Tamandua tetradactyla: one gene and its partners. The protein of the gene in region 1 purifies or fractionates together with the protein of each later gene. This does not show direct contact. Links are inferred from orthologs where the notes say so. Each region holds a gene or a part of one and is shown in the gene's direction. Other genes may lie near its edges. The genes, in order: RNF146, LIG3, PARP2 and XRCC1.

Evidence for each region.
Region 2: the proteins of RNF146 (region 1) and LIG3 purify together in Homo sapiens (co-immunoprecipitation; 3 studies listed by BioGRID and IntAct, counting the BioPlex papers as one, with this or other methods). This does not show direct contact. The link is inferred for Tamandua tetradactyla from reciprocal best matches to the Homo sapiens genes RNF146 and LIG3.
Region 3: the proteins of RNF146 (region 1) and PARP2 purify together in Homo sapiens (affinity purification with mass spectrometry; 4 studies listed by BioGRID and IntAct, counting the BioPlex papers as one, with this or other methods). This does not show direct contact. The link is inferred for Tamandua tetradactyla from reciprocal best matches to the Homo sapiens genes RNF146 and PARP2.
Region 4: the proteins of RNF146 (region 1) and XRCC1 purify together in Homo sapiens (co-immunoprecipitation; 3 studies listed by BioGRID and IntAct, with this or other methods). This does not show direct contact. The link is inferred for Tamandua tetradactyla from reciprocal best matches to the Homo sapiens genes RNF146 and XRCC1.

Annotation. Positions count from the first base shown.
Region 1 is NC_135331.1:188,536,870-188,544,266, forward strand, and holds the start of RNF146 (E3 ubiquitin-protein ligase RNF146), read left to right. Parts: upstream 1-4,388; 5' UTR 4,389-4,496; intron 4,497-5,852; exon of another isoform or gene 5,853-5,944; intron 5,945-7,397. UniProt on the Homo sapiens protein: E3 ubiquitin-protein ligase that specifically binds poly-ADP-ribosylated (PARsylated) proteins and mediates their ubiquitination and subsequent degradation. May regulate many important biological processes, such as cell survival and DNA damage response.
Region 2 is NC_135332.1:46,372,409-46,379,684, reverse strand, and holds the start of LIG3 (DNA ligase 3), read left to right. Parts: upstream 1-4,256; 5' UTR 4,257-4,395; exon of another isoform or gene 4,396-4,399; intron 4,400-6,779; 5' UTR 6,780-6,783; coding exon 6,784-7,276. UniProt on the Homo sapiens protein: Isoform 3 functions as a heterodimer with DNA-repair protein XRCC1 in the nucleus and can correct defective DNA strand-break repair and sister chromatid exchange following treatment with ionizing radiation and alkylating agents.
Region 3 is NC_135340.1:36,325,341-36,332,243, reverse strand, and holds the start of PARP2 (poly [ADP-ribose] polymerase 2), read left to right. Parts: upstream 1-3,888; 5' UTR 3,889-4,433; coding exon 4,434-4,476; intron 4,477-5,475; coding exon 5,476-5,640; intron 5,641-5,955; coding exon 5,956-6,026; intron 6,027-6,659; coding exon 6,660-6,710; intron 6,711-6,903. UniProt on the Homo sapiens protein: Poly-ADP-ribosyltransferase that mediates poly-ADP-ribosylation of proteins and plays a key role in DNA repair.
Region 4 is NC_135342.1:21,214,643-21,222,017, forward strand, and holds the start of XRCC1 (DNA repair protein XRCC1), read left to right. Parts: upstream 1-4,363; 5' UTR 4,364-4,502; coding exon 4,503-4,553; intron 4,554-4,931; coding exon 4,932-5,024; intron 5,025-7,375. Other genes in the region: PINLYP (phospholipase A2 inhibitor and Ly6/PLAUR domain-containing protein), read right to left, coding at 32-175, 409-561, 2,171-2,287, 3,199-3,268. UniProt on the Homo sapiens protein: Scaffold protein involved in DNA single-strand break repair by mediating the assembly of DNA break repair protein complexes. Negatively regulates ADP-ribosyltransferase activity of PARP1 during base-excision repair in order to prevent excessive PARP1 activity.

The DNA of each region.
Region 1 (7,397 bases):
CAGCAACTCCTGTCACTGCACAATGGGCTCATGAACAAAGTGGTCATGGTGGTAGGGATGGAGGTTATGCATGGGCTCAGCAACTTGGACTTCCACTTACCAAAGCTGACTTGGCTACAGCTCCTGCTAGTGTCCAATCTGCCAGAGCAGAGACCCACACTCATCCTCCGATATGGCACCATTCCCTGAGGTGACCAGCCAACTATATGGTGGCAGGTTGAATACATTGGACCACTCCCTTCATGGAAGGGGCAGCGATTTGTTCTAACTGGAATAGACACATACTCTGGATATGGGTTTGCTTTCCCTGCATGCAATGCTTCTGTCAAAACTACCATCTATGGGCTTACAGAATGCCTTATCTATCATCACGGTATTCCACATAGCATTGTTTCTGATCAAGGAACACACTTCACAGCAAATGAAGTGTGGGAATGGGCACATGTTCATAGAATTCTCTGGTCTTACCATGTTCTCCATCATCCAGAAGCAGCTGAATTGACAGAATGGTGGAATGGCCTTTTGAAATCTCAATTACAGTGCCAACTAGGTGGCAATACCTTGAAGGGCTGGGGTAATGATCTCCAGGAAGCTGTATATGCTCTGAATCAGCATCCCCTGTATGGTGCTGTTTCTCCCATAGCCAGGATCCATGGGTCCAGGAACCAAGGGGTGGAAATGGGTGTGGTACCACTCACTGTTATCCTTAATGATCCACTAGGTAAATTTTTGCTTCCTGCCCCTGTGACCCTGAACTCTGTTGGTCTATAGGTTTTAGTTGCAAAATGGGATGTGTTTCCACCAGAAGAAACAACAATGATTACATTGAATTGGAATCTAAGACTGTCACCTAGTCACTTTGGGCTACTCATGCCCTTGGTTCAACAAGCCAAGAAGGGGATTACATTATTGACTGGGGTGATTGACCCTGACTATCAGGGGGAAATAGGACTGCAACTACATAGTGGAGGTAAAGAAGAGTCTTCTTGGAATATAGGAGATCCCCTAGGGCGTCTTTTAGTACTACCATGCCCTGTAATTAAAATCAATGGAAAACTGCAACAACCCAATCCAGGCAGGACTACCAAGGGGTCTGAAACTTCAGGAATGAAGGTTTGGGTCACCCCACCAGGCAAAGAACTACGGCCAGCTGAAGTGCTTGCTGAGGGTAAAGGGAACATGGAATGGGTAGTTGAAGAAGGTAGTGATAAATATGAAGTACAATCACATGATCAGTTACAGAAACAAGGACTGTAATGCTGTTTTGTTCATGTTGTAAGATATCAAGTTTAAGAATAAATATTACCCAAGGACTTGCACCTTATTCTGGAGAGATTTAATGTATTTCCAGTTATATGTAGGACAGTTGAATATTGTTAGGTGAAAGAAAAAACATGTGTTTTATTGTTTTTTTTTATTTAGAAATTAGGTATGCTTTAAGGTGATACATATAGCTGCCAAGTTGACAAGGGGTGGACTGTCATGGTCAGGTTCATGTGTCAATCTGGCCAAGTTGTGGTACCTGTTTGTCTGGTTGGACAAGTGTTGGCTTTTCTGTTGTGATGAGGACATTTCATAGAATTAAATCATGATCACGTACCTGTATCCACAGCTGATTCCATTTGTAATCAGCCAAGGGGAGTGTCTTCTGCAATGAGTGATACTTAATCTAATCACTGGAAGCCTTTTAAGGATGATTCAGAGGAGACAGGCTTTCTTTCTGCTTTAGCCAGTGAGCTTCTCCTGTGTTCATCCAGACCCTCCATTGGAATCATCAGCTTCACAGCCTGCCCCTGTGGAGAACTCTGCATTCCCACAGTTACATGAGACATTTTTATAAATTTTATATTTGCAAGTGTTTCCTGTTGATTCTGTTTCTCTGGAGAACCCTAACTAATACACACCTCTAGCAATATTGGGAGCTTCTGTCATGGATTATCCAGAAATAGAAACTAATCACTATCTTCCATTTAGGTGACTGATTGGATAGGGTGTATATTGTTCGATAGATTTAATTATTCTTTTTATATGTGGTTGGTGACAAATGCCAAGAAGTTCACTTTTTATTTATATATTATTCAATATATAAATACGTATATGTGCATATATACACATACATACATGCAGATGTGCATGTGCATTCATTCAATGCGTATTTACAGAGGGCCTCTCCTAAACGTGTCAGACACTGTTCGCAGCTGTTGGAATACAAAATAGAACACAAATTTCTGCTCTCTGAGATTTACATTCCAGAGTGGAGAGACACACACTAAAGATGAATAAGTAAAATAACTTATTCATTACATGGTGAGAGGTATTAGAGAGAAAAAGTAAGAAGGGGAAATGGAAAATGGGAAATATTGGAAATGGGGAATATTGCGATTTAAAATAGGGTGGCAGTGGGGTGCACGGGTGGTTCAGTGGTAGAATGCTGGCCTTTCACGTGGGAGACCTGGGTTTGATTCCTGAACCATGCACCTAAAAAAAAAAAAAAGAAGAAGAAGAAGAAAATAGGGTGGCAGTGGAGGACTGGCTGTAAAGGTGACATTTGAGCAATCTATTTTGGGCAAGAGTTTTCTTAGCAGAGGAAATAGCAACTGGAAGGACTTTTGAGGTTGGGAGCTTGTGCAGCCATCTAAGAAGTGAAGTGAACACTCTGCAAGGTCATGGGCGTGATATGATCTGACTGTCTTTCAAATACCTTTACTTTGGGTTCTTTCTTGAAGATAGATTCAAAGGAGAGCAAAGAGCAGGAAGACCAGTTCCTGGGCTTTGCAATAATGCAAACAACAGCTGATGTCATTGTAGGAGAGGCTGTAAGTGGTCGGGTATGTATGTGCTCTGAAGGAAAGGCCAACAGATTATAACTGAATGTGGAACATAAGAGAACGAAAGGAAGTAAAGACGTGTTTGGATAAGAAAGGACAGAGCCATTCACTGAGGTGGCAAAGACTGTGAGTGTCGGTATGAATGAGATGGGCAGAAGCCAGAGGGACCCAGAAACACCTGTGTTCTGATCCCATCTCTTTCTCTCACAAAATACATGAGCAAGTCATTTAACCTGTTTTATCTGTTCCTCCAGTTGGTATAATGAAAAGTTGGACCAGGTGAACTCTTTTAGTCCCTGTCTAGATTCAAGCCCCAGTCTACGACTTTTGACTGTTTTCCTCCGTGCCTGTATCCGAAACGTTGGAATAACAGTAGCACCTATCTTGTGGCTTATGGTGACATTAAGCGAGTTTATATGTGTAAAGCACTGAGAACACTGGTTGGTACATTGTAAATAAAGGTGAATATTGTCTCTTTAAGCTTCAATTTATGAATATATATGAAATGTTTTGCTATTATCTGTTCATGGGCTGTGTAAGATAGAGGGGTAAAACCTGATGGCTGAGGAAAGGATAAGGATACGGAATAAAGCTTCAAGTTGAAGGACATATATACACTTCAATATTCCTAAAATTATAGTTTAGAAGAAAAACAGTTTTGCTTATGAGAGCAAACATCATTAAACAAGATAGATGAACCCTTTAAGATACTGGTTACATAGTAATGCCATGAGCAAGGACCCGGAAATACATGGACTTCAGAGAAACAAAAGAAAACGTACACACTTCTACATTGGCAAGGACACCGAGCTCTCCCAAGCCAGAATAAAAGAGCTAATGACATCCCCAACGTCGTATCACTGCAAGTAAGGAGGCTGCCATGGAATGTAGAAATATATACTCTTTTATGGATTAAAACGCGTTCCCTCCCACCCTCTTCATTTTACTATAAATTTAAAAATTTATTCAGTTCCGAAAAAGGCACTGCATATGCTAAAACGAAATGGAGACTACTGCCAGAACGATGATATTTAAAACCACAGCGCGCAACCCAAACGCTGCCTCTCCTCTAACTTCAGATTCTTAAGCTGATAAATCCTTCCTCCAGCTGCCTATGCCCTTTTCTATTGCGCATAATGGGTCCCAACAGAAGGGAAGGTCCTTTTTTTCCCTCTCGATTAAACTGTTGAGCGCTTCGTAGGGTGAATAAACCGTAGCGTCCGAGAAACCCGGTTTTTACTGGAAAGAGAACGCGCAGGGCTTTCCCCGAGGGCTCTCGACCACGAAACCCAAGGCCTCTGGGCCCTGAACGGCTTTCCGAGCAGCTGGACCTGCAGGCCCTCCCGTCTCATTTCCTCCACTCTGACTCTCCCTCCAGTGCCAGCACGTCTCTTCCGAACCTCCGGCACCCAAAGACTAGTAAAAGGCAATGGAAAGCGGTGAGAAGTCCGCAGACAGCAAAAGTGCGGGTCCCCAGAAAAGGCAGGGACGGGGCGCTGGCGGCGCGGCGCCGCTTCCGCCCGTGCGCGGCCCCACCCCCAGCGCGGCCCCGCCCCGCTCCCGCGGCGCGCCGGGCGGTCACGTGACGTCCGCGCGCGTTCCCGGCCGCTGCGGGTTCCGAGGCCGAGGAGAAAAGACTGCGAAGTGATCGCGGCCGTGGCGGGAGAGGTGGGAGTCGGGGCGAAGCCCTGGTGGGGGGCAGGGTGGGAACAGCCCACTCCGGGTGCCTCGTGCGGGGAGAGCCGGCCGGCCCGCGCCGTGCCCTCAGCCGTGCCGCGCCGCCGCGGCCCTGCGTTCGCGGCCCGAGAGGGGTGGCGGCGGGTCGGGCCGGGGCGTACACGGACGTCCTTGGCCGGCGCGGCGCGGAGGCGGCGCGGGACAGCTCCACGCTCGCCGCGCCCCCGCGCAGGCTGCTGTCGCAGGCCTGGATACTGTGGCGGGCTCTCCGTGGCCCGCGGCGGCCGGGAACCGGCCTCGGCGGGGTGCGCGAGGTGGAGCCGCGGCCATTGCTGCGCGGCCTGTCCCGCCGGGCCCGCGTCCTGGCCGTGGGGGTCTGCGGGCCCTTCTCGCCCTCGGCGGTGGCGTCGGGCCTCCAGCGGGGCCTCCTGGCCCGAGGTTGAGGGGCGGCGGTGGTTTCGGGGTACCCGGCTCCTGGTTTCCCATGCAGTCATGCCTTTTGGACCTCGGGTCAGGCGAGGCCCGCCGCGCTGCCTCTGCCTCGGATGGATTTGGTCGTTTTCCGGGTGTCTGGCTGTCTCCTCCTCCCTCTCCTCCTTCTCGATCCCTGGGTCTTGTCCGCGAGGGCGACAGCCATCCGTCCGCCATGGCCTCGTCACCCCCGGCGCTGCGTGTTCCTCGGTTTGACGGTTGTGGAAGCGTCGGGACACTGGCCGGGTCGCCGGGCCGCTGGGTCCCGGCTGCGGGGTGCGGACTCCCTCCTCGGCCCGGTCCCCGCCGACGGCACGGGTCTCCGTGCTGGTCCTGTTGGGTTTTCTGGCCGCAAAGGGCTTTTGAGAGTGTGGAGACGAGCAGCCCTGCCCGCACGGCCGCGGGACTGAGTTGACCCACGTCTGGCCCGCTGCGGTTCCCCTCCCGGTTAGCCGTTCTCGTATTGGGTGCCAGTTCTCTTCCCGAAGTGTCGTTTTAGCGAGTGCTTCTAACTCAAGTTTTCAAAGTACGTGTATTTGAAGTGATATTTTTGTCGTGTTGGAATACTGAACTGAAGGGAGAAGAAAGCTGAGAAATGCTAGGAAATGCTTTTTTTTTTTTATATTTGTAAGTGATGTTTCAAGTGTTTGGCACCCCCCACTCCCCCGTGTGTGGGTACTGTTTAAATGGGATGTGAAAGTATAACATTGGCATTGAAAGCAGTACAGAATTACAGAATTAGAAGACTTAAGGCTGTTTTTTTATTTTTTAATAAATCAATCTATATTTAGATTTAAACGTAGCGTATAGAACCAGTGAAGAAGAAGACCCTCGTGGCACAAGATTGTTGATGTTTTTAGGAACCGCAAAAATTGAGTAAATACAAATACTCTGAACACACGAAAATAGGTCAAGGAAATCTGATTTTGGAGAGAACCGGAAGAGTGACTGCCACACTAAAAATAGAGGTTGGTTGTCTTTCTTCGGACATTGTATATCTTAAATTGGAGCATTTTGTCAGGCATCAGAATTGGACTTAGAATTTATGTCTCAAATGGGCCAGTGTAAGTTGTGGGCAAATGGAAAATTTTGAAGTTTTTTTGTTATTTTATGGTTATTAAGAGTTTGATAGGATTATGGTCGCCAGGGAAACTGTTTCTCCAAATAACTGGTCATTGGACAAGAGGAAGAAAAGGAATGACATTTTCTCTTTTGGGGGATATGTCAACTGCTAAATCTTTTTGTTTCAGTTTCGACCAACTTAAATTGTCAGAAGACACTTTTTTTTTTTTAAAGCATCAAGAAAATGATTTCTTGACTTAGTAGAAATAAAGGATAGAATTAAATCTTTTCTTTGTTTCATAACACTACACTCATCTGTTTTAGAAACATTTACGTACTGGCCATACACTACATGAAACTCCTGATGTACCGTTAGTTGGGACAATGTTTTACTGTGGCGAACCTTTTCGTTTTCCTGTTTGGTTTTTGTTTGTGACTAAGAAACTTGAATTTGTGAAATGATGGTTTGGATTAGGAACAATCTTTGGGTATGGAACCATCTTATTAACTGACACTGGGGTTACAATCACCCGTGCTTGTTTATGGACTGTATTTAGTGTTCATGGCTCAGTGCCTTTTGGGTTAATTAAAACCAAACCTTTTGTTAAATGTCTGTTAATTAGTGTTACAGAATTAATAGAGTGTAGAAACTTAGGCTTTGGGAGTTAAGACTTGACCAAGGTCGCACGAATAGGACAGAGCCTAGCCTTTCTTATTTACCAAATGGTGCCAGCTGTAAAAACACTGCTGTGTTTGATATGATTTTAAAATATTTATTTATTCCTATTTACTGCTAATGTTTTATTAAAATTAAAGGGCTGCAGTTTTTTTTTTTAAGGGAAATTTAGGGAAGATTGTTAAAGGTTGTGGATTATCATACAGTAATTTTTTTGAGAAGTGGTAAGTGCTAAAATAGTTCTCTAAAGGGGGCCCATATAACTGAAATGAGTTTTGACTGAGAGGTCTGTTTCCAAGTATGGCCTCTGCTTTCAGTTTTTAAGAGAACATAATAGGGAAAGGTAAAAATGGAAACATTAGGGTATTTAGTTACGTCTATCAATTTGGAACTCCTCAAGAAACTTAAGATGCATCTGCTAAATAACATCTGATTTCTCTACTTCTTTTTCTGGTCTTTTTGCAATTATTACTGTTTTTATTTTGAGTTAGTATACCCAAGATTGGAAGGTTTGAAGTATTTTTCCTATCTCTCGTTTAAAACTTTTAAATAGAACATTCCCTGTTTTGTGTATTTTGAATAAATAAAGGGTAAAAACTATACTAGTAAAATTAGCTGTTAGCAATTGGAGAAATTAAGGAACCCTTCAAATACTAAAAAAATTCTATATTTTAACTGTTAAT
Region 2 (7,276 bases), on another chromosome or scaffold:
CCCCAGAAGCCTTTGTCTTTGCCCTGGATCAGCTACTCCCAAAGGCACCCTTGACTCCTCTCGACTCTTCCTTATTCTTTCCTACCTCAAATGACAGCTGCAGCACAAAGACATTCAAAGGAGAAGCCAGGAAATCCCTCCAGTTAAGAACCATCTTCCACAGCCTTTATTATCCCTCCAGTTAAGAACCATCTTCCACAGCCTTTATTTAGAAGAAGACTCACTAGCTGATTTGAATTATTATATCTTCCTGCAACTGTTCCTTTTTAAACATTTATCCTGGCAAACACTATCACTGTTTTTTACAGCTTATTTTAATTGTGCGACTATTAAGCAAACCAAACCGTAAAATCAACTCTCACTGCTGAGATTTATGTGGTTCATAGACCAGAGCTTATCAAAAAAGGAATCCACGGAGAAGGTGTGAGGCCGCTTTCCTATCTCTGCCTGTGGCTTCCAAGCTTTTCATAGAGGGTCGCACAGAATCTACCCAATTCCCTCAGACTTTTTTTTCCTTCTTAACAATCCTGATGAATCTAAATGAATAGTCTTTGTTTTTTTAAAATATTGATATTTTTATTGATAAATCTTAACATATAAACAGTCCATACGTGGTGTACAATAAATGGCTCACAATATCATCACTTAGTTGTGCATTCATCACCATGATCATTTTTCAGAACATTTGCATCACTCCAGAAAAATAAATAAAAAGAAAAAAAAAACTCATACATACCATACCCCTTACCCCTCCCTTTATTGACCACCAGCATTTCCATCTACCCAATTTATCTTAACCTTTATTATTTGTTCATTTTCCACCCATATTTTTTACTCATCTATCCACACCCTAGATAAAAGAGCATCCGACACAGGTTTTCACAATCATACAGAGATTGTAAAAGCCATATCATCATACAATCATCTTCAAGAACCAAGGCTACTGAACACAGCTCAACAGTTTCAGGTACTTCGCTCTAGCCACTCTAATACACCATAATCCAAACTGATTCAGTCTAAAAGGGGATGGTGGAACTCTAAGAGAAGCTCACAAACAGGATAAATGTCCTGAAAAATTTACGATAAAGGTCTAAGGCAAGGACTTAATTATGAGATTGGGTGAAATAGATATCTTGATTATTTGACAATATAGTTCTTAGTTAGGACTATGGAACAGCTATCAGACTCCAATAAAAGCTCTCCCTCCAAAAATGCATGTTCACACAAACATTCACATAAAATTTTAAGGGGTTCAAAGGTACCCAATTCCATCCAGGCATCACTTGGGGTCCATAAGCCTCAGATTATTTCTTACTACTTCCACTGTTTACCCTCCCCACTCCCCCAAGCTACTCTTGTTTCTGTCCTAGTTTATTTCAGTAGCCACCCAGCTCATCTCCCAACTTCTCTACATAGTAGCAAGAGTGATCCTGTTAAAATACATCAGAATCATGTCATTTCTCTACTCAGTAAAGTCCATGGGGTTGCATTTCACCTGGAGTAAGAGCCAAAGTTTCTACAATGGCTTACAAGGATCTGTCTCCTTGCTTCCTTGCTAGCCTCACCTTCTACTCTTCTCACCCTTAACTCATTCTGCTGTAGCCACACAGATCTCCTTCCCGTTGCGTACATGCCAGGCACATTCTGGCTGCTGAGCTTTTACTGATACTCCCCTTCCCTGAGTTCTCCATGAGGCTCTCTCCTTCATTCCTTCACTTTGTCATGAGGTCTTCCTGACCTGTATTAAAGACTGCAACCCACCACCTTGCCCAGCACATCTGATCCTCCTCATCTGCTCTTTCTCCACTGCACTCATCCTTTTACATACTATGCATTTTACTTATTACTGTATTATTAATATTTATTTCCCACATCAGCCTGATAACTCCATAAGAGGAGGGCTTTTTGTCTGTTCTGTTTTACAGCTGTATTCCAGCTCCTGAAATAGTGCGTGACAGAGTAGGAACTCAAATACTTTACTGACTGATTGATGACTAACTAAGTGGTAAAACTTTGCAGTGGTATGAAGGTGTCTAGGCTGGGGAATGGAGGAGCATGCACATTTACCACAAAACTTCTAAGTGTGAAGCAGTTTGCAAGTTATACCAGCCATTTCACTTAATCATCACCCACAATCCTACTTCACCAGGAAAACTCAGTCCCCAAGAAGTTAAGAATAGAACCTGAGGTTATACATCTAGTGGCAGAACACAATTCAAACTTGGGTTTACGTGATTCCAAAGCACTGCTTTTCCCACCATCACAAATTACCTCATTCTCCTTAGGAGCAGTTCCTACTTCCCTAAGGAAGTGCAACTGTCGGCTCTCACACATGGTTCCATTTCACAGAGAGGGATCTGAGTCACAGAGACATTAGGGGTCCCTTGGGGTTCTAATTAAGCACAATAAATATTGAGAGCCTGAGACCTTTTGCAAATGTACATAAAACACATTTACTTTGTCAGAAAACTATATTATGAACATCCTTCCAAGGGACATCACTTTCTAAGTTTCATTCATTCATTCCATTCACTCATGGTTTTCCTTGATTTATTTATAAATATGTGCTGAGTGCCTATTATGTGCCAGGCACTGTTCTAGGCACTGGGGATAAAAAGATGTATAAGATACAGAGGTCACGTTCCACAAATAGGCTTGAAGTTTAGGACAGTGCTTTATCCAAAAGAAATATAATGCGAGCCACATATGTAATTTAATATTTACTAGTAGCCACATTTTTAGAAGTAAAAATAGGCAAAATGTATTTTAATAATATATTTTATTTAATCCAGTATATCCAAAATATTATAATTTCAACACGTAATTGAAATACATATATTATTGAGTTTTTAACATTCTTTTTTTTGTACCAAGTCTTCAAAATCAGTGTGTATTTTATACTCACAGCACATCTCAACTTGGATTAGCCACATTTTAAGTGCTACAGCATTGGACAGCACAGGGCCAGAAGAAAGGACAGATACATTTGAGGAGATTTTTAAAACAATGTTCTAATTGCAGTGATAATGTACCTTCAGGATCATTCAACTACCAGTACTAGTACTTTAGCCTTCATTGACCCATCAACCCCAAAGACCTAGATCATTTTGCTATACCAAAGTAGAGAAAAGAGAAAGGGGCTTTACTCTATTGCAAACAGTGGAATCGTGGTTGACCTCAATCAACGAAACTTAATATATCTAAAACAAAACATCCTTACCCCAAATACCTTTACCTCCCCTATTTTCTATTTCAGTTGATGGCACCATTATCTACTTGCTCACTTAAGTCATGCTCATTTCCTCTTTAGACAAATGAACATTTTATCCAGGAGGTAATTTTTTAACCTCTTATTTTGAAATAATTTCAAACTTACAGTACAGATTATAGAAGACTGTTTAGAATATAAATGTTTCTCAAAAACACACCTTCCTCTCCATCACAGCTACCTGAGCTAATTCAGGCCACTTAGCACCCTTGCCTTACCCTCTCTCCTACCCAACTTTGACAGTAATTCCTATTCTGTAAAACTCTTCAGGGCTCTCCATCACTTACAGAATAAAGGCCAAGCTCTTTATGACACAGCAAATAATTTCTTCCAGGATCTGACCTTTGCTTACTGAACAATTGGCCCAACTGTCCCCTGACCTTGAACGAGTTCACGTACCTTCTCTAAACCTGCTACCCCTTTGTAAAAATAGCCATCCTAATCTTTCATAAAGATCACTGGAAGTTCAAAGAGATAATATTTAAAACAATCTACAATGTAGGAGATTATTTCCCCACCATGCCTTTACACAGTTTCCTATCTATCATTATCGTCTATCCATCTATCGTATCCACATTGCGCCTTTTGCAGTTCAATAACATTTACTGAATACTTACTATATGCTAGGCATTGTGCAAGATAACGAGAAGGCGGAACACCGAGAGATCGGCTGAATAACGCGACCTTTGCCTTCCCCAAGCTCATTACAATGTAATTTCTCAACTAATACGCTTTAACTCAATTGGACTATATGATCTCTAACAGCACGAAAAAATCAGGGGGATCCTCAGAAGTTCCAGCCAGGCCGCACTTTGGGACACCACCACGTCCCCTTATCTCTGCTTCCCCAGGCGGCGATCGCAGTTCCGAACGCCCCAAAACCCAGACAACCAAAGACCAGGGCCACGTGGCACAAACTGCCCACGACCCACGTGGTAGGCCGGGGGCGGGGACCCGCGCCAGCGCCGAGACCTGCGGCGCAGCTTGGGCCTTCGCTTATGCGCTTGCGCACTGTCACCAGCTCAAGGACCCGGATTTAAAGAGACAGGAGCTACAACCGTCGTGGGCTGCCCACGGCCTCTGGGCGCCTGGACCCAAGGCCTACAGTGTGCGCTGGAGCCGGAAAGGCAGGTGAGGGCGGCGCGGCGGGGCTGGCAGTGTGGGGAGGAAGCCGGTGGGGACCCGAACCTCGGCGCGGTCCGGGAGCCAGCCCCCTCGGCTCCTCCCCCTCCCGCCTGCGGAGCCCGGGGGCACACCCTCCATGACGTGGCGGCCCCCGGGAGTCCACCCGGGAGGTGCCTGGTACCTTGAGGCACCCCCAAGATACCCGCGCGAGGAATAGTGCCTGCTCACATCCCCGGGCGTGCGGCCCTTCGGGGCCCCTCCAGGGACTTCTTCTGTGTCCCTGCCCCTGCATATTCCCCGCAACGAAGTTGCTGCGCTTCCCTAGGAATTTGGGAGCCTTTCTCGTTCCCAGCGTTCGCTGGCCGGGTGGAAGCGTGCTCCCTTCCCCAGCCCCGCTGGCTGTGCCCGCGGGTCCCCTCGGCCTCCAGCGTGCTGATCCCGAGGGACTCGGAGGGTCTAGCCTTAACGCCGCCCGACCCCGCTTCCCCGCCTCCTCCCTTCCTTGAGGCCGGCTCGCGGCGCCCGGGTCGGTAGTCCCTACCCACTCCGCGAAAGCGTGGCGGGAGGCCCCTTCAGCAAGGCAGCTGCAGGGGTTTCGCTTTCCACCCCGCTGCAGCTCACTGGCCCGTGGCCGTCTGCGCTTCTTTGAGACCTCAGCGATTTCCTGCTCGGGCTCCTTCCAAGGAGTTTATGCGTCGCGGTGGGCCAGAGCCTCAGGAGCCTCCTCTGAGGCTGAGACTAGGGCGCTGCGAGATGCTCTGGAGTCTGTTTCTTTAATTATTTACAGGGGCGTAGGGGTAGGCGTGACATAATTAGGTCTGTCTTCTAAGAAAGATTTCAGGTTCTGAGCTTCTCTTATGGGCCTGCCGTACTTTCCTATACATCATCTCTGTAGTTCTTAAACTTTTGAAGATTGTAGAACCCTTTGTGAATCTCATGAGAAAGTTATGAACCTTCTCTCCAAAAATACATTTACAAGTATGTACATTTTCAAGGAGATTAAACCATGTTACCGCCCCCCTCCCAGGCCATCCATGGGCTTATTTTAATTTTCACAACCACCCTGTGAGGCAGGTATTATTTTCCCTGTTTTAGAAATAAGAACGCAGACTCAGAGAAGTTAAAAAGTTTCTCAAAGTTAAAATAACATATATGCTGTATGATCAGACTTTAAGCTGCCAAGACTCCCTAATTTTTGAAAGACCCTATGCATTCCTCTGTACCATGTTGCAGTACCGTAGGTAAAGGCCTGTTTTTGTATAATACAATGGCAATTTCACTACAAAGCGGTGTGCAAACTTGAAAATGACTTCTAGTATTTTAAATATTAGAACTTTAATTCTTGCCTCCTGTGCGGGAGACCTGGGTTCAGTTCCTGGCCGGTGCACTTCCCAAACCAGGAAACCAACAAACACAAACAAATAAAAAATTCAACAAAATAGTGCTGCAATAGCGGGATACTCACATGGAAAAATAATGAAATGTGGTAACCCCACCATACAACATCCAAAAAAAAAGATACTTTGGAAGATATAAACAATATAAGAAGATAAGGAGATACCATTTGGATATAATCCTTGTTTCCATTTGGATTGATTTATCAGTTTCTTTGACTCTTGTCATCCAGTTACTTCAGAATTCTCTGACTCAAATTGCTGAATTATAGACAGGCATATAATTGTACATAGGGTACCACTGTTTAAAGTAACTTCTTCATTGAAGATAAGAGCTAACATTATTGAGCCCCTGATAATGTGTCCAACTCTTTTCTAAGGGCTTACCCCTTAGAACAGCAATGCTTTGAATAAGTACTATTGTCGACATTTTACAAATGAGGAAACTGAGGAATGGAGAGATTAAGAAACTACCAAGTTCACACAGCCGGTAAGTGGCTGAGCTAAGGTTTGAACCCAGGCAGTCTGATTCCAGGCTCCACTTAGTTGCCTCTCAAAATAGGGTTTTGGATTAAATCACAAATCCATGTAATGGTTTGTTTTCTAGAGGATGACGTGTTATATCTCACATTGAATACTTTATGGACATATGTAATTTTTCTTAATGATTAAAAAGAAACTTCACGACCTTATAATACTTAAATGTCATCATTCATTATGAGTCTCAGGGATTGCTGAGAAAACAGGATAAGCTTTGTATTATTTGGGTTCTCTTAGTTGTGATTACTGGATATACGTGTGTATATTAATCAAACACCTTTTGCAAACTGGATTTTCCATTTACTGGAACTCTTCTTCATCCTGTAGGAAATAAACTTTTAATACTTTTGATTAGTCAGCCTGGGCCATATAGACCTTTGGCTTTTGAGCAAATTGGAAGTTTATCTCCTCATTTATATCTCATTTACTCTGCTTCTCACCCTTTCATGCAGCTGTATGACTTTAGCTTTCAGGATCCTCTTTCCACCAACCTTCCGTGCATTCAGCCGAAAAGAACCGTGCCTGTTCCGAGAGCGACATCGTTGGCCTGACATCAGACAGTTTAACCAGTGGCTAGAAACAGATCTGCTTCATGGGCGCTGCCCTCTGACAAAAAAGCCTGTTCTGTCATTCCAGCAAGGCAATCAAAAACCACGAACCACTTGCCTTGTTTTCTTGCCAGGGTTGCATGTGGGACTCTGCAGTGGCCCCAGTGAGATGGCTGAGCAACGATTCTGTGTTGATTATGCCAAGCGTGGCACAGCTGGCTGCAAAAAATGTAAAGAAAAGATCGTGAAGGGTGTATGCCGAATTGGCAAAGTGGTGCCCAATCCCTTCTCAGAGTCCGGCGGTGATATGAAAGAGTGGTACCACATTAAATGCATGTTTGAGAAACTTGAACGGGCCCGGGCCACCACAAAAAAAATCGAGGATCTCACAGAGCTGGAAG
Region 3 (6,903 bases), on another chromosome or scaffold:
TTGGGTAGATGGAAATACTAGTGGTCAATGAGAGGCAGGGTAAGGGGTATGGTATGTATGACTGTTTTCTCTTTTCTTTTTATTTCTTTTTCTGGAGTGATGCAAATGTTCTAAAAAATGATCATGGTGATGAATATACAACTATGTAATGATATTTGTGAGCCATTGATTGTACACCATATATGAAATGTTTGTATGCTAAAAATGCATGTGCCTGTACATTGTCTTATCAATAAAAATTTTTTAAATCCCATCAAATGTCTAAAACCCCTTCATGGCATTCTGCATTCCAAATTTTAATACTCATAACAACCTGTTACAATAGTCTCGTTAGCTGCTAATATTAAAATTTTGTGCACAGTAAAAATCATTTTGAGAGTTATTTAAAAGTAGATTCCTGAGATACACTTCCTGAGATTCTAATTTAGTGGGCTGGTTTCAGCCCTATTATTTTAATAGGTACCTTCAGATGCTTCTGATGGGTTTAACTGAGGTCCACCTTTGGAAAACAAAGACTAGTTCAGGATGTTATCACTGCTAAAATGAGTAGACTCCTGGAAAAGGTAGCACTTTTCAAACTTTTCATTTATAATACATTCAGAATGAAGAATATGAGAAGAGCATTTGTTAGTAAATAAAAGTTAAGCATACTATTTGCACTAGAAAGTCCACATCTGTACTTATGCCCAAAGAGGCAATGATGACCCTTGGTTGTAATAGCAAAAATAATAATAATAATAAAATAAAAATTACTATGCTTATCCAAAGGTGAATCAGCAAATCATAATATAACTTTTTCATCAAATACTACCCAGCAGTTACGGAGAATGAGGCAGATTTGCACAATCTACCATGGAATGATCTCCAAAGCACTTAAGTGAAAAAAGTTAAGTTGCAGAATAACACATGCAATGTGCTCACATTTTTTATAGCACCCTTCACAGAAAGGCAAAATAATGTATTTTTAAATGTGCAGACATATGTCTATGGATGAAAAAAAAAATGGTTTGGAAAGAAACACACTAAGCTATTAATAGTTGTTACACCTAGGAAAAAGATAGTGGTTGGGGTGGGTCTTCTTCTTTTTAAGAATCTGAACAAAGAGAATGCATTGATTTTTAAACAATTAGATAGTACCCCACCACAACCAAAATAAAGATAGTGTACAGGAGTACTTTTTGATAAAGGAGTGGGAAGAGAAAAAGAAGAAACCCCTAACCCCCTAAGGCAGAAGAAGACAGCCTCCAAAGTCTAAAAGAATATGGCACTGGATGACTAACCCCTAAATTAGCCTAGGGCTCTAGAGATTGGACCGTCCATGTGTTCACCAACCTTACCCCCAGTTACTACTTTTCCTCTTTGCTTAAGCCTTAGGCCTCGCCATTTTTTAGTATCTCTTGAGGATCCTCTTCCCTACAAGGTTGTTGCAAAGGGATCCTCCACATCTCCTTTCCTAGTTATTCCATATTTCTGAAGACATGAACTCAAATTCCTTTAAAGGTGTTTCTGATTCATGATTTTACTAATCACTTCTGGGAAATAAACAATACAATTTATATCAAAATAAGATAATATCAGAAAGCTGTGGGCTTTGCTGCACTTAATGCAAGAATGAAGACGATTCTGCATAATCACATTTTTAAAAATTCCTGGTGTAATCACTCAGAACCTTGATTTGTAGATCAAGGCAGATCTCAAACCCATGTCATGGTCATATGTGGCAGTGCACAGCGACAGATGTATTCCATGTTGAATGAACGCTAGCAGACACTGGGTTCCCATTGGGTCGCATTCTCAGATAGTCACTGCCCCTTGGCAACAGCTATTCACCTGGGTAGCCAATGAAAATCTTCCTCTTAAGGTGCTGCACAACGATAATCTTAGACATGTTCTGTGTAAATTGTTATCCTTTTCATAATACTTTCCAACTGCATGGAATAAATGCCTTAAACTCTCTGAGCCTGAATTTTCTTTCTCCTCTGTATCATGGGGATAGTTAACATCTTCCTTCCTAACAAATATACAAAAGAGTCTATTCAAATGACTAGTTCATAGAATGTGCTCAATTCATGGTCAACTTCCTTATTCATTCTCCACTCACATTCATAGAGGAAGTAAAAAAAGTAATTACCTGATGTAATTATACTCATCGCATAATAAGCATTCAGTAACTGTTATCAGTACTAAAATTAAACGAGGTATTGTATTTACTTATATAAAGAAAGCTCAATTAAATATTAGCTACTTTTAATAATAATTTCCATTTTGATACATTTTCCTACTCCCAAACTAATGCCTTTTAGACCTACTCTAAACTTTTATTTGTGCCATAATTAAGTCAAATACAAAAGGCTCTAATTTAGGACTGAAACAGATCAACCAGTACAATACACTGTGACATTTGCTAAGTGCTATTTTATTACATTCATTCCCAAATATTTTATACAGTTTAATACTATAAACGGTTTACTTTCTAAAAATTTTATTTTCTTGCTGTCTAAGTCTCTTTTATAAAGAGACCAATTATTCTACGTATTATTAGGTACATTATATATGTATACAACCTTCCATTCCTACTAATTTAAAAATTAATTCTGTAGTTTCTTCTGGAATTTTTATATTCATAACGAAATGACATGAAAATAATGAGATTTTTGTTTTCTTTTTTCAAAAGTTTATTGTATCTTTTGAACAAAATTTCTCAATTTTAATAAAATCGAATTTATCTTATGGCAATAACTTTTGTGTTTTAAGTAAACCTTTCCCGACTCCAGGGTATTAAAGAGTTAATTCTATTTTCTGCGCAGGGTTTCCGAGTTTTATTTTAGGTCGTTCGTCCTTGATCCATCGTAGTTCACAGGCGCAGAGAGCCATAGCAGGGCAAAGCAAAACCCGTTGGACTGCGGAAGCTCAAGTCTTGGCTGCCTCTCCAGCGTCCCCCTACACCACTCCCACTCCCCGTTGCTCTGTGTTCTGGCCACCCTGCCTTCCTGCTTCACGGGCTGATTCTTCTGATGCACTCAATTTACCTTAGTGCAGAGCTCCCAATCTCCCTGACTCGTGTTCCCCCAATACAACACTCCCTAGCACTGCCTGCTTCTCCTTAGTAGCGCTTTACTGCCACATTTTTACATTTGCTTGTGTGATTACTTGATTAACGTGTTCCCAACTAGACTATAAGCTCCAAGACTTATGTCTATTTGGGCTAAACTACTGTAACAAATAAGTAACTGTTGAATTAATGAATATCCTAATTTTGAACTATCCTTCCATACTTGGGATAAAATCTACTTGTCTGTGTGGCTTTTTTATTACGCTGCTGGAATTTATTTGCTAATATTTAATTTAAAAGTCATTTATTAATGTATTTAAATTGAACCCTCATTTTCCCTTACCGGGGACTATTATAGCCTAACAATATACAAGTGTTGTCTGAGAATCACCAGTATCAGTTAGTTGGTTTGCTGGTCAAAAATGCGGAGCTCTGGGAACGTCTCCCCTACCTCAGAGGGTCTGGGGCGGGGCGCGGTAATGGGCTTTATAGTATGCAGCCCTGGGACTCTGACGCATTCAAATACTAGAAACCCCCTGACCTGAAGGACCTCTCTTATGGTCTCTGGATTTAATACAGCCTTACATACTGGCACCCCGATGACCACGTTTCTCTCCCCGTGGGGCGTTCTCTCGTTCATGCATGCCAGATTAATGCGAACTTGCCGCCCTGGGCCCCTCCTTGTTCCAAGAGGTGCTATGCAGTTTCGGGCCTCAGCACTCCGTCTCCCCTAGACAAAGCTTCCATCACCTTCGTAATCACTCAGTATTTATCTGGCAGCTGTTATAGACAGAGATATTTTTTTCTAGAAAGCAAAAAGAAATAAAAAAGGACGGGGGAGAGTAGTCTGAATTGGGTTATGAGGCCCCACTACGGGGTACCTCACCTCAGCCATTGAACTCTCTGGAGTGCTGGCCGTGAGTCTGTTCCAAGCTCCGCCTGAGGAGGCATCCGCCGGGCCCTACCGGGGGGGGCGGGTCCACGGCATCTCCTGCCCAGTCTGCCCTCGCGCGGAGCCCCATTCTCTGGGAACTCACCTCCCCGTATACAGGGAGAGCCCTGTTAGGGCCGCTGCTGGCCCTTGTCTCAGACCTTCCCAAGGGACGTTGCGTAGAGTGACGTGACGCACTCCGCTCGTAGCCCCACCGATGAGCTTCCCTCCGCCCTGTAGAGAGAAGAGGGTGTTTGCCGGATTTATAAGATTCCCACTGCTAAAGACATTTCACAGTTATGGTGACTTCCCACAACACTTGGCGATATGCAAATATCACGGAGTTGGCCCTGAGGCGCGGCGAGACGCACGCGCGCTGAGAGTTCCCGCCTGCTCACCCTGGGTCCAAGGTTCCTGAAGGCGGGTTGAAGACTGCAGTGTTTGGGTGCCATGGCGGCTCGGCGCAGGAGGACCGTCCGCGGACGCGCGCCAGGTTCGGAGCTCAGTGTGAGGGTATTGAATACGGGGAAATCGGAATAGGAAAAGGAACTGTGCCCCTTGCTCTCGGCCCTTCGCTTTCCAACACTCCCTGCCCCGAACTTCGTAGTCTACCAAACTAGTTTTGTTACTAAACTATAGTTTGGCTTTTACAGAGCCTTTTAGATTGTGGAATTGTGGATAAGAGCTTGTCGGCCTGTGTCACGTAACGCTTGCTGTGTGTGCCACGCACTAAGTACCTGTCATCGAATTTATAAAACATCCATTGTGAGATACACCATTCTTTTATATATCGTTAAGAAAATAACTTCCGATTAGCCGTGATTCACTGCTAATATATCACCTATTGTAAGATGCATGTCAGTTTCAGAGATGTTAAAATTGTATGAGCCTTGAAATTGATGAGGTACAGTACTCTGTATCATGTTCTGTAATGCATAAGCTCACCCTATAAATTATATATGATTATCATCCTTCGAGGTGGAAAATCAAATACCTTGTCCAGGTTTCCACAGCTAGAGGAGGAAGAGTTGGGCCAGGCAGAGGCTCCAAAACTACTCTCACTGCCTCAGGTAGATTGAGGATAGGTATTTAGAGAACCCAAGGGCGTAAGTAAGCAGAAGAATAAATCCTGAGTGATCATGTGGTGAAAAATAAATCATGAGCGATACAGACAGTGTAACATTGGGATTGCGTCAAGGAGATGGGTCCAGAGCCACAGAGGAAAAAAATTGTTTCTGTAATTAAAGCCATGGAATGGTGAACTCGCCAGAGTCTTCGGGCTTCCTTTTATTTCATTTCATTTTGTTTTATTTAGTTTCTTATGGAGTTTTTACTCAGATTGTAATTAGTGTGGCGATTGTTGTGTCTTTGGTAACTTTTACAAAACTATCTTAAACCATTCTTTAAAAGATGATATTTTTTCCAAGTGGAATCTGAATCAGTGTGTCCTCATTCTTTTGCTTCTTTCTGTGCCCATTCTTCATATCCTAAGCCTCTGTAGGGTTAACTGAAACCGAGAAAATCAGTAATGGGAACATAGCTGCAGAAGATTCTCCTCCTGCTAAGAAAACTCGCAGTTGCCAGAGGCAGGGGTTGAAAAAGGAGCCTGTGGCTGGAGGAAAAACTGTTGATGGTGACAAGATAGAAGGCAAGCAAGGTCAGCTTCACATGTGGGCCAGGGAGGGCACAGGCCAGCAAAGGGTCTGGGGGAGGTGGGAATATATGTTGTTCTTTCAACTCTTATTTCTTCTTTCCTTAAAAATATTATTAATTTCTCCATCCTCTGTGTATAACCCAGGACTAATCTACTTTGTCAGAACTTCGTTTTTATGTGTTTGAGATGGATTGAAACCTAGGCAGAAGTTCAGGATTGCTTGGGAAGGGCCGAATTAATTATGACAGTGTTTCATCTAACCATGACAGCTACTTTTGATTCCCGTACAAGTAGATATGATATTATTTTTTTCCTCAGAATCTATGAAGACCTTGCTTTTAAAAGGCAAAGCTCCCGTGGACCCAGAGTGCACAGTCAAGGTGGGGAAGGTAAGAGACACTGCAGCCCATCCTTAATCCATTGATACCTCAGAGAGCAGTGTTCTTCTGTTATTGAGATTCTTGCCTGGGTCATCGCTAGTATTGTTTTTAGAAATCTTCTTCAAAATATGGCTAGTGACTGATTTTCTCCAAATCTGGGGGCTGAGAGTGGTGAAGTTTTGGGTTAATGATTGAGATATTTATAACATGGTTAATTTCTGGGGTAAACCATCAGCCTTTGGTCCCTCATTCACTTTCTCAGTCAGAAAACTGTATCATTATTAAGGAAGAATCTTCCTCTTTGTTCAAATGGGAGAATGTGCTTTAGAATGTCTTGAGTTACTGATGGTTGGGAAGCGGATTTGAAGAATACAGAAGAAAAGCTGCCTCTTCAGCTGACTTTCTTGAACTGAAAATCCTTTGTTTCTGTAATGAGAAAAAAAGCAGCATGTTATATAATAGTGATGGGCGGTGTATAGGAGAATACATGTTTGCATTTCTTTCCCCAGAAGATAGAATAGGTAGATGGTAACGGTGCTGAAGAAGGCCACTGTGATGGTTGAAGCATAAGAAAATTCAGAGCCTGACTTATGATCTGATCAGGGCCGAGACGATACTAATGTCAGTTTTTCCCCTCTCTAGGCCCATGTATACTGTGAAGGGAATGATGTTTATGATGTCATGCTTAATCAGGTAAGGGGAGAAACCATTCTATTTTTGGAAGTTATCTTATTATTATTGATAGAGTTCCGAATGCCCAGATCTTTAATTTTGAAGTTCTTTATATTAGTCATACTTTCCTAGTACACTCTGCCTGATAGTGAATTCCTCTATGAAAAGCAAATCTTTTTGCAAATTTCGTGTCTTTTCTAGAACCTGTGAACTC
Region 4 (7,375 bases), on another chromosome or scaffold:
GCCTCCAGCTCCCCTGCCCCTGTCCCCTCACCGGCCTGCACGTTGCCAGCAAAGTAGATGCAGTGGGTCTCCTGGCCAACACAGCGGGCTGCCTGGGTCCCGGGGCAGGTCTCCTGAAACGGCGCGATGCAGGCGGGGCAGTGGAGCCCGTTCTCAGTGCGATTGTTCTGGGGAGCTGGGGGCGTGAGAGTGGGGTGACCGTTTAAGCCCTTCTCCTGAACTCAGACAACCCCGGATGCTAAGGGACATTGTACAACCCATTGTACAGGTGTGGACACGGAAGCTCTGAGCCAGCCAAGTGCTTTCCCGACGCCGCGGAGCCGAACAGCAGCAGGTTGGGCCAGAAACCGCGGACTCTTGGGGCGGGGCTGGAAACTGCTCGCGGCGCCGCGCTGGGCGGGCACTTACGGGGCACGGTGTCGCGGTTGCAGCCGTCGCTCTGGCAGCAGCGGGCGTTGGACACCATGTAATCCTTGGGGCCCATGGTGGTGGACACGAACCCCGAATAGCAGTCCCTGGACTTCATGCAGGACTTGTAGGTGTTCACCGACTGCTGGCCCTCTGCGGGGTGGGGCCGGCTCAGCGACGCTAGCTGACCCCACCCTAGCCTCGAGTCTCCCGTAACCCAACATCTCCCTGCCCTGCGACTGCCTGGGATAGTCTCTTCCAGCTTCCTCAATCCATACCTCCCTCTCTGCCTGGAGTGGTCTCTTCTAGTCTCCCCAAATCATCTCCCCTTGTCTGCCTAGGGTTCAGTTTGGAGTGGTTTATTAGGTAGCTCTCTCTACTCATTACATTCCCTGCCCCAGTCTTCCTTTGGTGGTCTCTTGCAGTCCTCTACTGCAAACATCCCTGCTGCCTGCCTGACATGGTCCCTTCCCACCCACCCCAAGGCCATCCTCTCCTCCAGCACCTTGCTGTCTTTGCCAGGCCAGTATGGCCACTCCCCTGTCCCTGTGGTGTGGTCTCTTCCATCCTCCAAGACTTTCATCCTCCCCCCACACCCTGGGGTGGTTCTGCCCAACAAACCTTGGGCTGCTGCCCCACTCCCCCAACACCTATCCCCCTCTCTGTCTAGGGTGGTCTCTGCCAGTCTCCACAGCCTACCCCTTCTCCGACCCATGGTGGTCTTTTCCAACCCAATCCAAAGGTTTTCCCTCTAGGCGCCAGCCCATAGGGTTTTTTTCCTCCTAGCCTCCCAGAACCTCTTTTCCTATATCTGTCTGGGGTGGTCTCTTCAAGCCTTTCAGATCCGTCCCCCAGGCCCCAACACTTGCTGGGTGGATGGGATGGGCGCAGTCTTCAGTCCCACCTTTCTCCCTCTCTCCCTCCAGTGGGGCTGGTTTCTTCCTGCATTCAGTTACCCCTCACCTGCCATCACAGTCTTCCCTCCCACACTTTGCCCCATTATCACTCCTGTGAGGAAGGTCCCCAGTGGTCTCTTCCCCTGCAATCTCAACCACCCATGGCTTCTCAGGTCTAGGATGGTCTCCACTTGAGTCACACACCTCCTGTCCCTTACATTTTACTCACCAGCCTACGCACTTGCCCCATCTCTACTTCTCTCTATAATGATTTGTTCGATAATTCGTGGTTATCTTCCCCCTTCCGATCGTGGTGGTCCTTTTCACTTTCCCCTAATCCCAACACCGTCTCTCCTCCTCTTGCCGGGAATGTTCTCTTCCAGCCCATGCCACCCTCACCATCCCTGGGGTGATTCCAGGGGATTTGGGTTGATTCCTTCATCTCCTCTAGAATCGTCTCTTCTCTGACCCTTTGACTGCCCCTCACCCCCAGGGCTCTCCCCTCTTCTTTCGCTAGCTTATTAGATTCTTCCCTTCTCATCATTTCTCTGTCTCCCTATGTTCTTCCTTCACCTCCTCCCATCTACAATAGTCTCTTTATTTACCCTGCATTCTTTCCCCCATAGACTTCTTCCTCCCTTATTGGAGAGTCTCATTTTTAGAAATCCCTGACCACAATGGATTCTGATGCCCCACTGAATTCTTCTGCCTCCACCTCGAGATATTCTTGCCCTCTTCCTGCACATTTTCTTCCTGCGCCACTCATTCCACGACAGTGATGACCATCTCCCCCGCCCCCACCCCCCAGCACATGGTATCTTGTTTCTACCCTGATGGCACCTTTGGTCCAACGCCCACCCTCTTACTTGTGCTGGACTCCCCCACGATGACCACGCAGGCATCCTTGCCTGCCTCGCATGTCTTCAGTTTTCCACTGCACGTGGGCCCGGGGCCCTTACACACCTCACAGCTTAGTGGGCACCCTGCAGGGGAGAGGGCGGGACTGTAGCCGAGGTCTGAGAACCACGACTTCCACTTCGGGGCCCTGAGGGAGACGAGGGCAGAGGGCACAATTTGTTGGTCCTTACGAAGGAGGGTCCTGCCATCTCCCAGGTTTTTCATGGGCGGAGCATTGGTCCAAGGAACTGTCCAGAGAACTATGCAGAGCCCTGACAGGGACGCAGTGGTGATGCCTGCAAGCTGCTTCCAGGGGCAGGAAACGACTCCACCACAGAACCTAGATACCTAATTACAAGGCTGGGGGCTTTGGATGCTAGGGTCCTCTGAGAACGCTTGGGGGCTGGAGGGGCGTGGCGAAGGCTTCCAGGGACTTTTGTGAAGCTTCAGGAACAGGTGATTCTGCAGTTTGAGACCCTCCCCCTTGCAGGTACAACTGGAGGTCTTGTAGTCAACAGGAACTCAGGTAGCAGTACCTGAGGCTGGGGTCTACATCCTAGGCTAAGGAGGGAGAATGACCTCTGGAAGGGTGGGCACATGGACCCCTTAGCCTGAGAGAGGGAAGCCCAGGTGTCTCCTGGAGAAAGTGGAGCTGGTGGCCTGGGAGAAAGGGAGTCTCTTGGTCTTTTCTGTTTTTAAAATTAGATTCCTCTTTCTAGTCCTGCTCTTATCTAACTTCCTAGAATTCTCATGTCTTATTTTGGGATCTGCCTGGGGTACAGGAGAATCAGGGCCCACCAAGCCCCTTCCTCTCAGGGATTCAATCATGTGAGCTTTTCTTCCCTTGGGGTTTCCAGGCTTTCTCTTCCTTTAGCCTCCTCCATTAATCCGAGCTCTCAAGATACTTCCCCTTTCCTCCTTAAAGACCCTGTTGAATGCTCTTCCACAGTCCCCTCTTTCCTGGGGGTGTCCTGAATCCAGGCCCCCAGCAACTCACCAAGGCCCAGAAGAGTGCAGAGCAGCGCCAAGGCCAGCAGGAAGGTCCTGGGACTCTCCGATGGCCTCATGGTGTGTCACCAGGCAGTCCTGGGTCCCCAGCCCTTATAAGACGCTAAGGAAGGGCGGCCCGGCCAACCTTCACCCTGAGGCAAGAAGGAGCTGAGGTCAGAGCGCAGGGCAGGCCTCACCAGCCCTGGGGTGCGGGAGGCGGAACCAAGTCCAAAAGGGACCTGGGCATCTGGTGTCCAGCCCCTTCTCCACAGGTCCCTAGTGGCCTAGACTTCCAGCTCTTTCTTCCATCAGGACCCAGAAGGTCACTGCCCTGTTTCCTCTCACATTCCCACAGTCCATTTTCTTTGCTGGACGCCCAAGGTCGGAATGGAGTATTTGATTCCCCGGGGTGGGGGTTGGGGGGGGGGTTGCACCGGTTTCAAGGTCTGGGATTCCCTCTTCCTTTGTTCTCTTTCCAAGGAGGCACCCAGCATGGGTGGGGCCCCACCTGGGAGCGCCAGCGGGAGCATCAGCGTGTCCAGGCTCGTTCTGCGGGGGCCCGGGAGCCTTGTCTCCCTTCCCTTCTCCTTCACCTGCTTCTGTATTTGGACTATCGCCGGCTCCGACTCAGCCCACGGCTGCATGCTTGCACACGGGAACTGAACAGAGGGATGCTTGTCAGCGGCCAGGGCCAGGCGCGGTAGGAGACTGATGCCCACAGGCCACATATTGGGAAACTGAGGCAAGGGTGGAAACACTGTAGGCTGGGTGAGTGCATGCTTTGTGTTTTAGATCTGTGACCTACTCTCTTGTGGTCTCAGGCATAACCTGAAAGAGCTCTTAGGCTTTTATAGGGGCGGGGAGACGGTGGGATGCAGCCGCGGAAGCCAAGACTCCAGATGACACTCTAAGTCGGGTTTTGCTGTCTGGCTTTCTAGGCTTCAGTATGCGTGGTGACTGCATCGCCCAATGAGAATGGCGAATTTCTACTAGGGACCAATCTTGGAGGCTGCTCCTGTTGCTGGGCGCCCAGAAAGTGCATACGTCACCAAGAGGCGGGACTAGAGGGTGGAGTGGCCGGAGAGAGGCGGGACTAGAGAAAAGTTCGTTGCTAGGAAACTCAGCACCGCCTACTGGAGTGGCGCGACTGGGCAAGCGCGCTGTTGACGCGCGTGCCGGCGCGCCGCAGTTTGAAAGGCCCGAGCCCGGCGCGCGTGCGCATTGAAGTCAGCGCGGAGGAGCAACCCCTCCCCGCACCCAAACCCCGACCCTCCTTCAGCCTTCAGGCCCCGCGAAGTCCAAGACGTTGGCATGCCGGAGATCCGCCTCCGCCATGTGGTGTCCTGCAGCAGCCAGGACTCGGTGAGGGCCAGCGTGGGGGAGGTGGGAATTGCTAGGGGGAGGGGGGCTCCACAAGAACTTTCTGGGTTTAAAAGGGAACTTGAGGGAAATCTAAGAAGGGCCAAGTGGAAATTTCCAGGATGCTGTAAGTGAATCCTCGGAGACTTGAGGAATAGGGGAATTTCCGGACATCTCTGGAACTTCCGGAGAGAAAAAATGGAATAGGGGCGTTCCTTGGAGAGCAATTAGGTGAACTTCCAGGGCAAAAGGTTGCAGGGGGAATTCAAGGCAGGAGTGGGGGATTAATGGGGAGCTTATCTGACAACTAGCAAAGGTCTTGAGAGGGTCTGGCCCTCGGTTCCGTGTCCTAACTCTTCCATTTTCCACTCTTGCCCCCAGACTCACTGTGCAGAAAACCTCCTCAAGGCGGACACTTACCGAAAATGGCGGGCTGCCAAGGCAGGCGAGAAGACCATCTCTGTGGTCCTCCAGGTGACCCTGCCCTTCCCCCCCCACTAGGAGTCTGGAGACCCAGGGTCCAGGCCCAGAAGAGAAAGTGACTCAGCCCACTGCCAGTTGGCTCAAGGGCTGAGTCACTTTCTCTTCTGGGCCTCAGCTTTCTTACCAGGAAAATGGGCAGCATGGTACTGGTACCCCTCAGGAGGGGAGAGAAGGATCCCCAGGACTAGGCCAGGGACAACCATAGGAATCAGTGTGTAGCCCCAATAGATTGCTCCTGCTTTCTGGGTCTCGGTTTCCTCAACCCGAACAAAGTGAATCAGTGGGCTCAGGGATGGAAGATGTCCCTGAGCGCATCTAAGCCAATCAACGACCATTTTCAAGATAGGAAAACTGAAATATGGGGGTGGGGGGAAGTGAACTGAAATGCTGGCCAGGTTTTTTCTGAGTACTTTTTGCTCATACTCTCAATCCAGGCCACAATCCTGTGAGGTTAGAGGGAGGCAAACCTGAGGGAGGAAAGGGTGGCCTGACTTGAAATGGTTACACAATTCCAAACAGGCTGTTCCTGTCAGGGATAAGAAAATTATGGGAGAAGAGAGCTAAATACATATTAAGCATTTACTGCTGGCTAGGTGTTTTATATGGATTCAGTCATCACAAAAGTTGTCACTAGCAATAAATGACAGAGGCAGGACTTGAACTCACACCTGAGTACTGGTGTTATTTACCACTTTGCCAACTGCCTTGTATTCTCTAGCTTTCTTGATTTGGGCCACATTCCTTAGTTCTGAATGTTGGGGTATTTGGGGGAGCGATGGGGGAGGTCAGGCAGGACTTGCATGATTGCATTTGATTCTGATCGTATTCTCTTTCTCTGTCTTGCTTGCTGATTCTAAAAAATTTTGGGGTCACAGAGGTTTTTTTGAGAATTTGATAGAAGCTGAGGATTCTCTTCCCAGAAAATAACACAGACTTACAAAATATTCGAAATGAGTTGGGGAATTTAAATATCTCCTGAATCCTTTGCATAGTAAAAATGAGAGCTAACGTTTATTGAGTGTTACAACCTGGCAGTCACTGTTCTAAGCACCTCACAGGAATTAACTCATTGACTCCTCATAAAAACCTCATGACCTAGGATCTATTGTTCACATTTTACAGATGAGGAAACTCAAGCTGAGTGAAGTTATGCAACTTGCCCAAGAGTCAAATGTTTTAAACTGAAAGAGGTACAGGTTGCTTACAGTTTAGTCTTGGGACCTGAATTCAAGTTTCTCTCTTGCTCACTCTGTGACCTTAGGCAAATTGTTTTATTTCTCTGAACCTGTTTTATCATCTGTCCATTAGGAATAATAAGATCTAAGCCTAGGGTTGTTGTGACAGTTCGGTGACATAATGTCTGCAGAAGTGCTCTGTCAACATGCAGGTGTTTACGTAAAGCTGCTGGGCTCTCTTCTGATCGGGTGATACCAGGGAAGTCACGTGCAGTCCTTTGTGCCTGTTGTAGTGAGAGCAGATAGACAGGCAGGAAAGAGTACGTGGAAGGTGAGGGAGCAGGAGGAGCTAGGATGAGGCATAGGATTCTGTGACCTGAAAGACTGAGGGGAAAGGTGCAGCTGTCACTGAAATGGGAAACCCAGAGAGGGGGCAGTTTGGGAAGGTGATATGTTTAGATGGGACATCCAGGTTTGATGTGACTTTGGGATATCCATGGAGCGGCATCCAGGAGACAAGGAGGGATTAGATGTGGAGCCAGAGACGGAAGGGGCTTGTTGGTACAGGGGCAGACTTAGGAATGAATGGATTCATTTGTTTGTTTGTTCATTCATCTATGCAACAGATATTTATTCAGCACTGTCTAGGCCAAGCACTGCTTTAGGTGCTGGGTTTATATAGCAGTGAACAGCACAGGACAAAAACCATCTCAGTTCTTGTGGGACTTCCATGTTTGTAGGGAAAGATTGATGAACAAACCAGTAATTAAACTTAAGTCAGATGATGAATGCAGTGGAGGGAAATTAAGTAGTTTGAGAGGAATAGGGAGTCCCTCAGCAGGGGACGGGACCATGGTGAGTGCTGAGAGTTTTCATTTAAATAGAGGGTCAGAGAAGGCCTCCCCGGGAAGAGACACTTGTGGGCTGCCTGGAAAACCACTGCAAGGACTTTGGCTTTTATGCTAAGATGGGAGCCACTGGAGGGTTCTCAGCAGAGGAGGGACAGAATCTGACTTAAATTTACCCAAGCTCCGTCTGGTTCCCATGTTGAGAACACACTGTTGCAGGCAGTGGCAGAAGCAGGGCCTCCAGCATTTCAGCGCTTGTTAACTTGGTCCACATCCGAGACCCTCCGGAAAATCTGATGGCCTCTGGTGGTTGCCAGTA